Linked DNA regions of Caenorhabditis elegans. The protein of the gene in region 2 purifies or fractionates together with the protein of the main gene of each other region. This does not show direct contact. Each region holds a gene or a part of one and is shown on either strand. Other genes may lie near its edges. The genes, in order: homt-1 and urm-1.

The links.
Region 1: the proteins of urm-1 (region 2) and homt-1 fractionate together in Caenorhabditis elegans (co-fractionation; one large-scale study listed by BioGRID). This does not show direct contact.

Annotation. Positions count from the first base shown.
Region 1 is NC_003279.8:4,136-12,238, forward strand, and holds the start of homt-1 (Alpha N-terminal protein methyltransferase 1), read right to left. Parts: upstream 6,096-8,103; 5' UTR 6,014-6,095; coding exon 5,960-6,013; intron 5,712-5,959; coding exon 5,592-5,711; intron 2,193-5,591; coding exon 1,902-2,192; intron 1,162-1,901; coding exon 1,060-1,161; intron 224-1,059; coding exon 86-223; 3' UTR 1-85. Other genes in the region: nlp-40 (Peptide P4), read left to right, coding at 7,506-7,554. UniProt on the Caenorhabditis elegans protein: Alpha-N-methyltransferase that methylates the N-terminus of target proteins containing the N-terminal motif [Ala/Pro/Ser]-Pro-Lys when the initiator Met is cleaved.
Region 2 is NC_003281.10:10,503,382-10,506,557, reverse strand, and holds urm-1 (Ubiquitin-related modifier 1 homolog), read right to left. Parts: upstream 1,079-3,176; coding exon 991-1,078; intron 941-990; coding exon 726-940; 3' UTR 659-725; downstream 1-658. Other genes in the region: sip-1 (Stress-induced protein 1), read left to right, coding at 1-128, 185-386; taf-11.3 (Transcription initiation factor TFIID subunit 11), read left to right, coding at 1,312-1,412, 1,459-1,507, 1,553-1,747, 1,802-1,890, 1,943-2,042, 2,333-2,485; Ras-related protein Rab-33, read left to right, coding at 2,707-2,808, 3,067-3,176. UniProt on the Caenorhabditis elegans protein: Acts as a sulfur carrier required for 2-thiolation of mcm(5)S(2)U at tRNA wobble positions of cytosolic tRNA(Lys), tRNA(Glu) and tRNA(Gln). Serves as sulfur donor in tRNA 2-thiolation reaction by being thiocarboxylated (-COSH) at its C-terminus by MOCS3.

The DNA.
Region 1 (8,103 bases), on a different chromosome or scaffold from region 2:
TTTAACAGAAATAACGTGAGCACGCATGTAAAACATGAAATTTTCGGGAAAATTGCAATTAAACGAATAAAAATCGATATTTAAATCAATTATTGGTGAATCCGGTGTGTTGAGGCTTCAATGCATACATTTTTACTGGATAAATCTCCTTTGGGAATCCGGTTTGCAGTGCTTTCGAGACCATGTCCAGTTGAGAATCGGCGAACGCTTTAAGAAGCTCGGGCTGAATAATGAATTGTTTTAAAAAATGTTTAGTAAAAAATTGTTTTCGTGCAAATTGTCTTCGATATTATCCAAACGTGACGTTTTGCGATTTTCGCGCTAAAATTACAGTAAGTGGGGTCTCGACACGACAATTTTTGTGAAATACAAACGGGCGTGTGTCTTTAAGAAGTACTGTAGTTTAAAAACTTCATTTCTGTGGAATTTTCATATATTTTTCATAGTTTTTCTCTTTAAATAAATCACTTTTCAACAAAAAACTATGAGACAATAGTTTGAAATTACAGTATTCTTTAAAGGTGCACGCCTGCTCGAATTTCGCAAAAACGTGTCGTGTCGAGACCCCAATTACAGTATTTTTGACCCGAATATCGCGAAATTTCGAGTCTGGGTGAAAACATTGAAATTTTTGGCAAAATAAAAGAAATATGTCCTTTTTCAGAATATATTTTCTAAATTTCGAGACGAAACAACAATTTTAAATGAATTTTAATTTTAAATATTAAATATTTCGGAATTTGGCGTTTTTTATGCATGTCGATTCACTAACGATTTTGTACTACACGTGGGCAAGTTTATACAGTTTTTGGCTAAAATTTGTGAATTTGAACCGTTTTTCGGCGAATATTTGAAAAATTGGCAAAACTGGTTCAAAAACAAAAATTTTTTAAACTGTACAAACTGTCCAAAAATTCGTCGTAAATCGACACACCCTTCTCATTTTTTCAAAATTTTAATTGTTTTCGAATGTTTTTTTTGCAGAATAATTTGTAAAATGAGCCTTTTGTGAATTTTTTTTAATTTCAAAGTTTTTATTATTTTTTCTCAAACCAGCACCTCTGTTCTCGTCCAACTATGATCATCATCGTCGAATAACCGTTTCTCGTGATTTGTCACATTATCCTTGAGCACAATACATCCACCAGGTTTCAGTCCTTTCTGAAAATGAAAATTAATTTTAAAAAAATTGAATTATTTTAAATGAAACAGTTTTCAGAGATTTCTCAACTTTTGAGTCCACCACCAGGCCTGCACGTTTTTCGGGTTTTATCTTTTAAAAAACTGAAAAATCGAAAAATTTCAATTTCTGTTTTGTGGTCAAAATTGTAATTACAGGTAAGCAAATAGTTTAATTTTAAAATTGAAAATTAGGGAAATGACCGGACATAAGTTTAAAAACCCGATTTTTTCAATAAAAAGGAAAATTGAAAATTTAATAAAACAGGTTGTAAATCAAGGAGATCGTATTGATTGAAAAAAAATCCGAATGTTCCGGATTTTTCAGTGGTTTTTTTTGAAAGAAAATCGAAAAAGTAAATGTTTTTAATTTTTAAATTTAAATTTTTAATCGGAAAAAATGTACGAAATTGACTTTTTAATGTGAAAAATTGTTGTTTTAAAAAAAAATTTTAACCGATACAGATTTTCTAGACTCAGTTTTTTCGGTTGAATATTGTTTTTTACTATTTTTTCATTACAGAAAGAATCCAATTTTATTTCGCTTAAAAAATAACCGGAGCATCGAAAATATTTTTTTTTCTGTTTTACTCAAAGCATTTCAATTACCTAGAATTTTGTTTAAAAACTACATGCTTTATTTATGAACGTAATAAATAAGACCCCCTCTTATTTATAAACTTTCAACATATTTTCAGTTTTCAGTGCTATCTAGTGCTTACCGCACATCTTTTAAAGAAATCAACCAAATCCTCATCAACCAAATGCCCTGAAACCCATTGAATCCATATCAAATCATAACGTCGTTCGGGCGGTGCAAACGTCTGCAGTCCTTCGACGAATTTATCTCCAATTCGTGGATGTTTTCCAATATATTGATCACTTTTCGTGATCAACTCCTCGACGACGTCTTCCATATCAACTTTCGAGAAGAATGGCATTAAGAGATGCTTTGTAACACGTCCGATACCCGCTCCGCAGTCCAGTGCATAGTCAAAGTAGCCGAATAGATTCTGGAAAATATTTATAAAATTCAAAGTTGGCCCAGGGGTGACCGGCAATTTCAAGCAAATCGGCAAATTGTCAATTTTCTGAATTTGCCGAAAATTTGACAAAAACGACAATTTGCCGGTTCGCCGAATTTACCTTTTTTAAATTTAATTTTCAATTCAGGCAAACTGACGATTTTCCGTTTGCCGGATATCAATTTGCAGGAATTTCTCAAAGGAATTTTTATTAAGACGGAAACACAGTGCTTTTTTGAATTTTTTTTCCCGTTTTCTTCAGATATTTTTATAGAATTTACTGACTTTTCAGAATAGATGTAGGACAATTTTGTTGTTTTAAAAATTGAAATTCTGAAATTTCCAACAAAAAAACATGTGCAAACCCACAAGTTGGCAAAAATATTTTGCATTTGCCGTTTTTCCCGTTTGCCGAAAAGTCTAATTTCGGTAATTGGGCCATTTTTCGAAATTTTGAGCCACATAAAAAACTTTGAACCATTTTTGAGAAGTATTATTACGACATTCGTTTATTTGAGCACAATTTGGGCCTATACTTTCAAAATCGGGGTTTGAAAACCCCTATATGTTCGACCGAATGTTAATCTCATAAAAATTTGATGAAAATAAAATTTTCTACGGCTCATAAACGTATAGCCCCCGTCAGTCTCAAAATTTATACGATAGACACTTTTTGGCGTTTATCGCCTATATTCCGTCAAAAACCATTATTCATCATTCTTTCAATGTTGTTTTTTTTAAGGCTAAAAAACTTTCATGCAAATTTGTTAGCCGTGTCGTGGTTTATACGAAAATTTCAGAATTTATAAAATAAAGGAAAACGAAAATGTTTCTATATACCCTATTTATGTTCTCTGATTCCGAATACCAATGTGAAAAATTCAAAAAAAATTCCCTGATTTTATATAAATTTTTGTAAGCGACAAAAATTGTCGTTTGAATTTCACACTTGGTTACAAAAATTTATGAAAATGAGGAAAATTTGTTTTAATTTTTTCACATTGATATTCGGAATCAGGAAAATAAATAGGGTCTATAGAAAAATTCCGAACCTTCACTCCTTCTCTGAGTATAATAAATTTAAAATAAATACAGAAAATTTCAGTTCAGACCTCATTAAATTTGGGTATATTTCTAGGATCCGAGTTTTTACACCAGATTTACAAACTTTTAGCCTTTCACCGCCTTTTTATGCGCATTTCCCATCAGTCAACTCCAAAAAAATCGCAACTTTTGCCTCATATTTCAAGAATATTCCCCTTTCTCTCCCCATTGAAAGTCATTTTCGAAACAAGCGGAAGATTCGTCATATGTGGTAATGTGTGGCGTGCGTTGGCAAACAACAAGAAAGAATCATTCTCTGAAAACAAAAAGCGTTTTGGGTGCCAAAGTAATATTGAAAATCTGCCGTGTTTTCTCATTTTCCATCAAAAGAAAATGAGAAAAAAGTTTCGGCGTTTTATTTGATTTCCGGGAAAGAAGACTCGGAAAAAGATTTAATTGAATTTTTCATAGCAAACCTATATTGCAACAACTTTCTAAAAGGTCAGAAATTGCCGCGTAGCCTAGAAAATTGGAAAACTCTTCCAGCTGGTATTATTTCAGACATGGTGCATCGAAAATTCGAAAATTACAGAAATTAACATTTTGGAGCATCTGCCAGAAAATTGAGATTACAGTACCCCACTTCTGCCGAGAAATTCGAGGTGGAAGAGGTCTTACAAAATTTTCGGTCACGTGAAAATGGGAAGCGTTCAGGCTCCACACGACGGAATTCACCTAGTTTTCAGGTGAGAAGATATCGTACGAGGAGAATTGACCTCCAAATCCTGATCGTGACTACAGGTCGTCGTTCGGAGCTGTGGAAGAGTTTTGAAAATCTTCGACCATGAGAGAAATAGACAGGACGACCAAACATTTTCAGTGGAAGAGCTTTTCCTAGGCCATCAGGATGCTATTTCGACAGAGCTGAGTTATCCTCAAGTCGTTACGAGGTGTGGAAAAGTTTTCCAAAATCCCCGACCAGGTAGAAAATGAGCACACCGATTAAGTTTCTCCAGTGGTAGAGTTTTTTCTAGGCCATCATTATGCTATCTAGAAAAAAGCTTCGGCCATGGGGTTTTTAGGCCGTCTATTTATTTCTCATAACTTTCTCAGAAATTCGTCTATTTCTCAGAACCCCCCAATGATAAGTTTTTTGCAAAAAAAGTTCTGCTTTGCTCATCAGCCGTAATCAGGTGACCTCATTAGGCCTACCCAAACACAGATTTGTCATTATTTTTCAGACAAAAAACACGAAAAAAATCTTCACGCATGGGGTGATAACCTGATTTTAAATCTTACTGTGCCGGCTGGCGCGGCGAGCTTCGATCACTGAGCCGAAAGATTATGAAAACTATGGGAATGACGGCGTAGCCTAGAAATCGTCCAGGCAGAGATTCTGTCTAATTTTCGAGCATATATCTCCCAGTTTTGTTATTAATTTAAGTAAACTCAAACCTAGAAACAAGTAAAACGGGAGGGGGGGGGGGAATATCAGAAAATTAAATCTTGCGACACTTTTCCATTGATACTTTCAAGGTAATGCCCAGAGGTGTGCGGCAAATTTTGAAACTTGCGCATGCCGCCTTTTTTTTTTTCTAGAAAACAGTCAGAATTTTTTGTCGAATTTGTTGAAAATTCGCTAATATACTGTGAGTTTAGAAAAAATAACGAAAAAACTCGGAAAAGGAGGAAGAGATCTGAAATATGTAGATTTTTTTAGAAAAGACCAGAAATTACTGAAAAATTGGCATTTTTCGTCGAAACCCCAATATACTAAATTATTCGGATTTTTAGAAAATTTTCAAATTCACCATACAGTGCATTTTTTCCTACTTCTACGACTTTAAAGGGGGGAGCATTTATGCGGAAGGGTCTTGCCGCGCATTTAGTCATCATTTTTAGCAGTTTCTGTGTAAAATTCGCGTAGATCACATGAAGATCACAAAATATTTATCCCATATTTCGTATTTCTGTTGCTTTTTCACAAATTAATTGTGATCTACGCGTGATCTCCGCGAATTTTGAGCAGACTTTGTTAAAAATGATGACTATGTGCACGGCAAGACCCTTCCGCATAAATGCGCCCCCCTTTAAAGTCGTAGAAGTGGAAAAAAAATGCACTGTAGCAAAAAATCGAACATTTCTGTTCGATTTTTGAATTTCTCGAAATTTTTTAAAATAATTTTTAAAATAACATTTTTATTTTATTTCGAAAACTACCGATTTTAGAAAAATTCTAAAATTTCGATTTTTTTTGTTGATTTTTCGATTTTTAAAATAAAATTTCATAATTTTTTAAACCGATCTTTCTTGCTTTTCCTGAAAAATCGATGATTTCTATACCTTTTTCTTCAGTCCTTCAATAAATCGTTTCGACGCCGATATGTCGGGCGCGTGAAGCGCTTCGAATCCGCCGAGCATTCCGTTGACGTCCTGGCTCGCGCGGCTCCAGTATTCCTCCGCCTGAAAGAGAATAGTTGAAAACATTGTTTTGAGACTTAAAAATTTTTTTTTTAGTTTTTTTCAAAAATTCTTACATGTTATAGAGTTTTTTTTTCAAATTTTCAGCTTTTTTCAGAAAAACTTAGTATTTTCGATAATTTTAAATAAAAAAGTTTTTTTTCAAAAAATGTTTCGGTTTTTTTTTTAATTTTTGGTCTAAAATTCTCCGCAAAAGATTTGCGTGCTGGCCGAACTTTTTGATTTTGTACCTTTTCATAAACATCTTCACCATTGTGAATTCTAGAAGATGATGAAGAGCTCATTTTTGATGTTGTGACAGCTGCTCCGAGCAATCTGGAGACTTTTGTGACGAAAAGACGAGAGGTCACGGATATGATGATGATACTGGAAATGAGATATTTATATTTACTAGTTCATCGGGAAAATTATTACGAGAAAGATAAACAGACATGTGCGTTTTTTTAATGGAAGAGAAACACAAGAAAAATCTGGAAAACTAGGCCACGGCTATCAGTGTCGATTTACGGCATACGGTCTCGACACGACTATTTTTGTTAAATGTGAAGGTATGCACCTTTAAAGAGTACTGTAGTTTGTAACTCTCATTGCTGCAACATATTTGACGCTCAGCGAAAACTACAGCAATTCTTCAAAAGACTACTGTAGCCTTTGTGTTGACTTACGGGCTCGATTCTCGAAACGAATTTCTGCTCGAATTGTGACAGCCATATTCAATTTGGTATAGTCTTTTCGTATTTTTTGCCATTTTTCTGTTTTCTTCTAATATTTAATCTATTATTAAATTATGTCCGTAACTCCCTCCAAAATTAGAACTGCGACCGAACAGAGATTCGTTCCGCCCCATATTCCGGCCAATCAGATCGAGTAGGCGGAGTTCGAAGTCGCTGATTGGTTTGAAAAGTCGCGGAAATTTGCAAGTTTTAAGGTAGCGAAAACTGATGACTATTGTAGCGCGCTTGTGTCGATTTACGGAATCTCGATTTTCAGGAATGAATTTTTAATTACATTTTTTCGCTCAATTAATATTCTAAATAAATAAATAAATGATTTGAATTAATTTAATTTCATTCGAGCCCGTAGATCGACACATGTGCTACAGTAATCATTAGTTTTCGCTACGAGATATTTTGCGCGTAAAATATTTTCCCGTAATAACTCTACTCCGACAAACATTACGACCTCCATGGAGGCCTCCAGGTATAGGTGAGACTCTTGTATTTCCAATTCAGAGACAATGCGTCACTGGAAGAGAAAACGAAGCGGAAAAAAAAACACGGAAACCCAAAAATAGTGTTTGCCCCGCTCTATTCTTCTCCAATAATTTCTGTGTCTAATTTTGAAAGACTCCACCTGTGTATGCCTTCTCGACATAAACCCCCCCCCCCCCCCCTATCTTACATGGTACTGATAACACTTTCAGTCTTTCACACTTTTGGCGCGCAACGCCGCTCTTTTTTCGCGGCGAGCTGATGACGTCATCAATTTTTCATCGCTTTTGATTATCTTCAATGTTCTAGAAGGGCACATAGGTCATCCTTATTTTTTCCTTCTCTTTCTCGTGACGGCCCTTGTTGCGCATGCCCGCCCCCTAGAGCAGGGCGTGGCCTGAACGGCGGCTCCGAGAGCTACTCATTCTTGCCGCGTCACCCTCCAGCGCCACCCAAACTTCTTCGGTTCTAGAGATCGAGAAGAACGTATGATTTTTTAAAATTATAATTGTTTCTTTCGAAAAAAAAAATTTCATTTACAGTAAGCCAAACATACACAATCAACATGAAACTCGTAATTCTGCTATCTTTTGTTGCGACAGTTGCGGTTTTTGGTGAGTTTATGCTTTAGATAATACTTTTCCGCCAAAAATACAGTTGCCGGTCTCGGTATGGCAATATTTTTGTTAAATTCGAAAAGCAGTGAGTAATGTAGTTTCGAATTTTCGTTTCTGCTTAATTTTCATCAATTCATCGTTTTTCTCACGACTTCTTCTTTATGAAAAATCAATGAAAATTCTGACTAGGTCAGCTTAGGGGTGAGGTACCTAGAGACGCCACATATGCCAAACGGAAGCTGAGATCATTGGCTACAAGAATATGCTTTCAAATTCTGCAACGGACCTCTGGGAGTCTGGAAATTCTTGTCTGAAATTATGCTTTTGAATGCTCGAAAGTGGTAAGAATTTAGAATTTATTACAGAAAAACGTTTAATTAATAAAATTAGTTTTATACTTGAAACAAGTACTGTATGCACTGTATCAAAACACATTTTCATCTTTTCTAGGTATTCAACTTCACGTTTTTCTGTAATAAATTCTAAATTCTTACCACTTTCGAGCATTCAAAAGCATAATTTCAGACAAGAATTTCCAGACTCCCA
Region 2 (3,176 bases):
CAGAAGTTCTGTGTCAAGCTCGACGTCGCCGCGTTCAAGCCGGAAGAGTTGAAGGTCAATCTTGAGGGACACGTTCTCACCATTGAGGGACACCACGAGGTCAAGACCGAGCACGGGTTCAGCAAGAGGTTGGTTTTATTTTATTTTTCATTTATTGGAATTAAAATTAATTAAAAATTTTCAGATCGTTCACTCGCCAGTTCACTCTTCCAAAGGACGTCGACTTGGCTCACATCCACACCGTCATCAACAAGGAAGGACAGATGACCATCGATGCTCCAAAGACCGGCTCCAACACCACCGTTCGTGCTCTTCCAATCCACACTTCTGCTGGACACGCTGTCACCCAGAAGCCATCCAGCACCACCACCACCGGAAAGCACTAAATTGCCCCCAACTTTCTAGATTACATACTGCCAGGACAAAAATAAAGCTGTAAAATGAGAAAAAAAGTGTTTTTCTTTTGTTTTGGGTACAGGGGGGAGTCTTCGGTTTCGAAAGTTCTTCCATCTTTCTGGAAATGCCTAGAAACTGTCGTTCTGTGAAGCGTTTTTTCTTCTTCGATTAAGATGAGTCCCCTTGAAAGTTCCGCTCGTCGAAAGTTTCAGCAACCTTCGTCCGTTGAAGATACCTGCTCTGTTAACTAATTTCGAAGTGATACATTTCAAATTCATTATCAACTTAAAAAACAGCTTAAAAACAAAACAATTAGCAAAAATCCGAGTTCATCCACCATGAAGCGTCGAGACAAAAGTAATCGTATCCCCTGCCTCAATAACCGTATCGTATTCTAACAGCAATCCGGTATCCGTGTCATTGATAAGGGTAATCACTCCGTGAGCAACTTCGCTGGCGTCATCGTTGAGCAACATATTTATCCGGTGAACATCCGTGACGAGGTTGTCCCGGACAAATTTCAGCACGTCTCGGAGTGTAGAGTCTGAAATAAAAATCGTCAAAATTCGTTTTTAAAATTCAAAAATCAAGTACCTGCCGGAATCTGAACCTTTTGTGCTTTTGCTTTGACGAGAAACTCGGCTCCGCCGGAAAAATCAATTGTGACTGGAATTGTGCTCATCTGAAATCAATAATACTTTAAAACATAAATTTCGAAAAAAAAAACTTTAAAAATTAAGTTGCCCGAGAGGAGTACACGGTGAAATTGTGCAACTACGCTCCATTGCTACGCGTTAGAGAGTGGAGGCGATAGAGAGTTCTTTTTCATTGACGTGTTGGATTCCTCCTTTTTTATTCATTTTTTTAATAAAAATTGTTAGAAAATCAGAAATCCATGACATTTTTTTCAGAAAAATGTCAAAAACAGCTGCCGATGACCTATTTGGCGGTCTCAGCGACAGTGACAGCGACGATGAGATAGTTCCGACCTCAGTTTTGAAGGATTTGGAGATGAGGTACGAATTTTCCTGCCAATTTTCGCTTAAAATTTCTCATCTGCAGCAGTGAAGAAGACGAAATTGCTGAATTATCAAAGGATACTCCTCCAGAGGTATGAACAGCCAAACAATCGACGAATTTTATTAATTATTCTCAGAAAAAGCGAAAAATCTCCGAGAGTGGCGCTTCCAGCAGCAGCTTCATACCGGAGAGCACTTCAGAAGAGAGTTTGAGCTTAAAATCTAAAAAAAGTGGCTCAAGAAAGCGAATTTTGACGGCTAGCTCGTCCACAAATTCCATTGCAATGAAATCTTCTGCAAGTTGGATTCAGGAGAAAGATACTCCGATAAATGTATGAAATTTTGAAGAAAAGCGAATAAAATCGAATAAAAATTGAAATTTTCAGAAGTCAGATGAGGAAAAATCTATTGCCGAGTCACTTTTGATTGCGAATTTTTCGAATGAGCAACTGGATCGCTATACGGCGTTTAAAAGGTGCTACAAGCCAGAAAAAAGCAATTAAAGTTGAATTTAAATTGAATTTCAGATCGAGATTCAACAGAAGAATCATCAAAAACGTGATTACTCGAACCACCGGACAAATTCCCAGTGATCCACTTGCGCTTGCAGTAGCTGGCCTTACGAAAGTGAGTTTTTCGAAAAAAAAATTCTAAATTTTTCGTTTTACGGCTAAAATCATCAGTTTTTCTTTTTGTTTCGTCAAATTTTCGAGCATTTTTCCGCAAAAATATTGAGTAAGTGTAAAAATTTCGATTTTTAGGCCAATTTTTAGGAAAAACCGTCTGAAAGTTGGGCGAAAAGTGTTTCAAAACAGATTCCAAAGAAAAATTAAAGTAAGAATCATAAAAATTCACTAACTTTTTTTCAAAATTCGATTTTAAGAATTAAAAAAACCGCGTAAATCCAAATTTTGCAGATGTTCATCGGAGATCTTGTGGAAGAAGCTGTGGAGCTCCGTGGAGCTCTAAATGAGCAAGACCGTCCAGTTCAACCGTATCATATCACTCGAGCTTTCGACAAACTTTTGGCCGAGGGAAAATTGTGGCCACCGTATGGAGCGAAGTATTGACTTTTTTTTTGCTTTTTTTTTGTTTTTTTTTTAATCATTAATACCGGTTTCTAATTATATGAATCTCAAGATTTTTGTTTTTGTTCTTGTTTTTTTTTAATAATATTTATTTTTATGTTTCCTTTTTTTAATTTCTCTAAAATGTTCTGAACATACTAAAATATCTAATTTCTTTTCTTTTTTGCTCAAAATCCTCCCCCATATCCCAAATTTCTTCAGATATGTCGGAGCATCATGTGAACATCCCGGCTCCTCAGTTCTCCACGTATGCTACTGTAATTGATCCACCGAAACATGTCACTGCAACTCATCCTGATGAGCTGGTGAGCACTGGAAATATGGAGAAATTCAGAGGAAAAATCAATTTGAAAAACGAAAATTTTTCGACTTTCCGAAAAATTCAAAAAATCGGGAAAACTTTTCATAACATAAAATGCAATTTTTTAAAATTATATTGATGAAAAAAGAAAAGAAAACATTGAAATTTGAGAAAATGACCAAAATTTTAGGAAACTTTTAAAAATAAATTTTCCTAAAAAAAAACCTTTTTTTTCCCTCAAAAAATAAATAAATCCTTCCAGACAACAGCATCACATCCCCAACCAACACATCCATCAGCACCACAAGATCCTTCACCAGCAGTACCATCAACTCCAGTTCGTGTTCCATATCCAACAGCTCCTCCACCAAT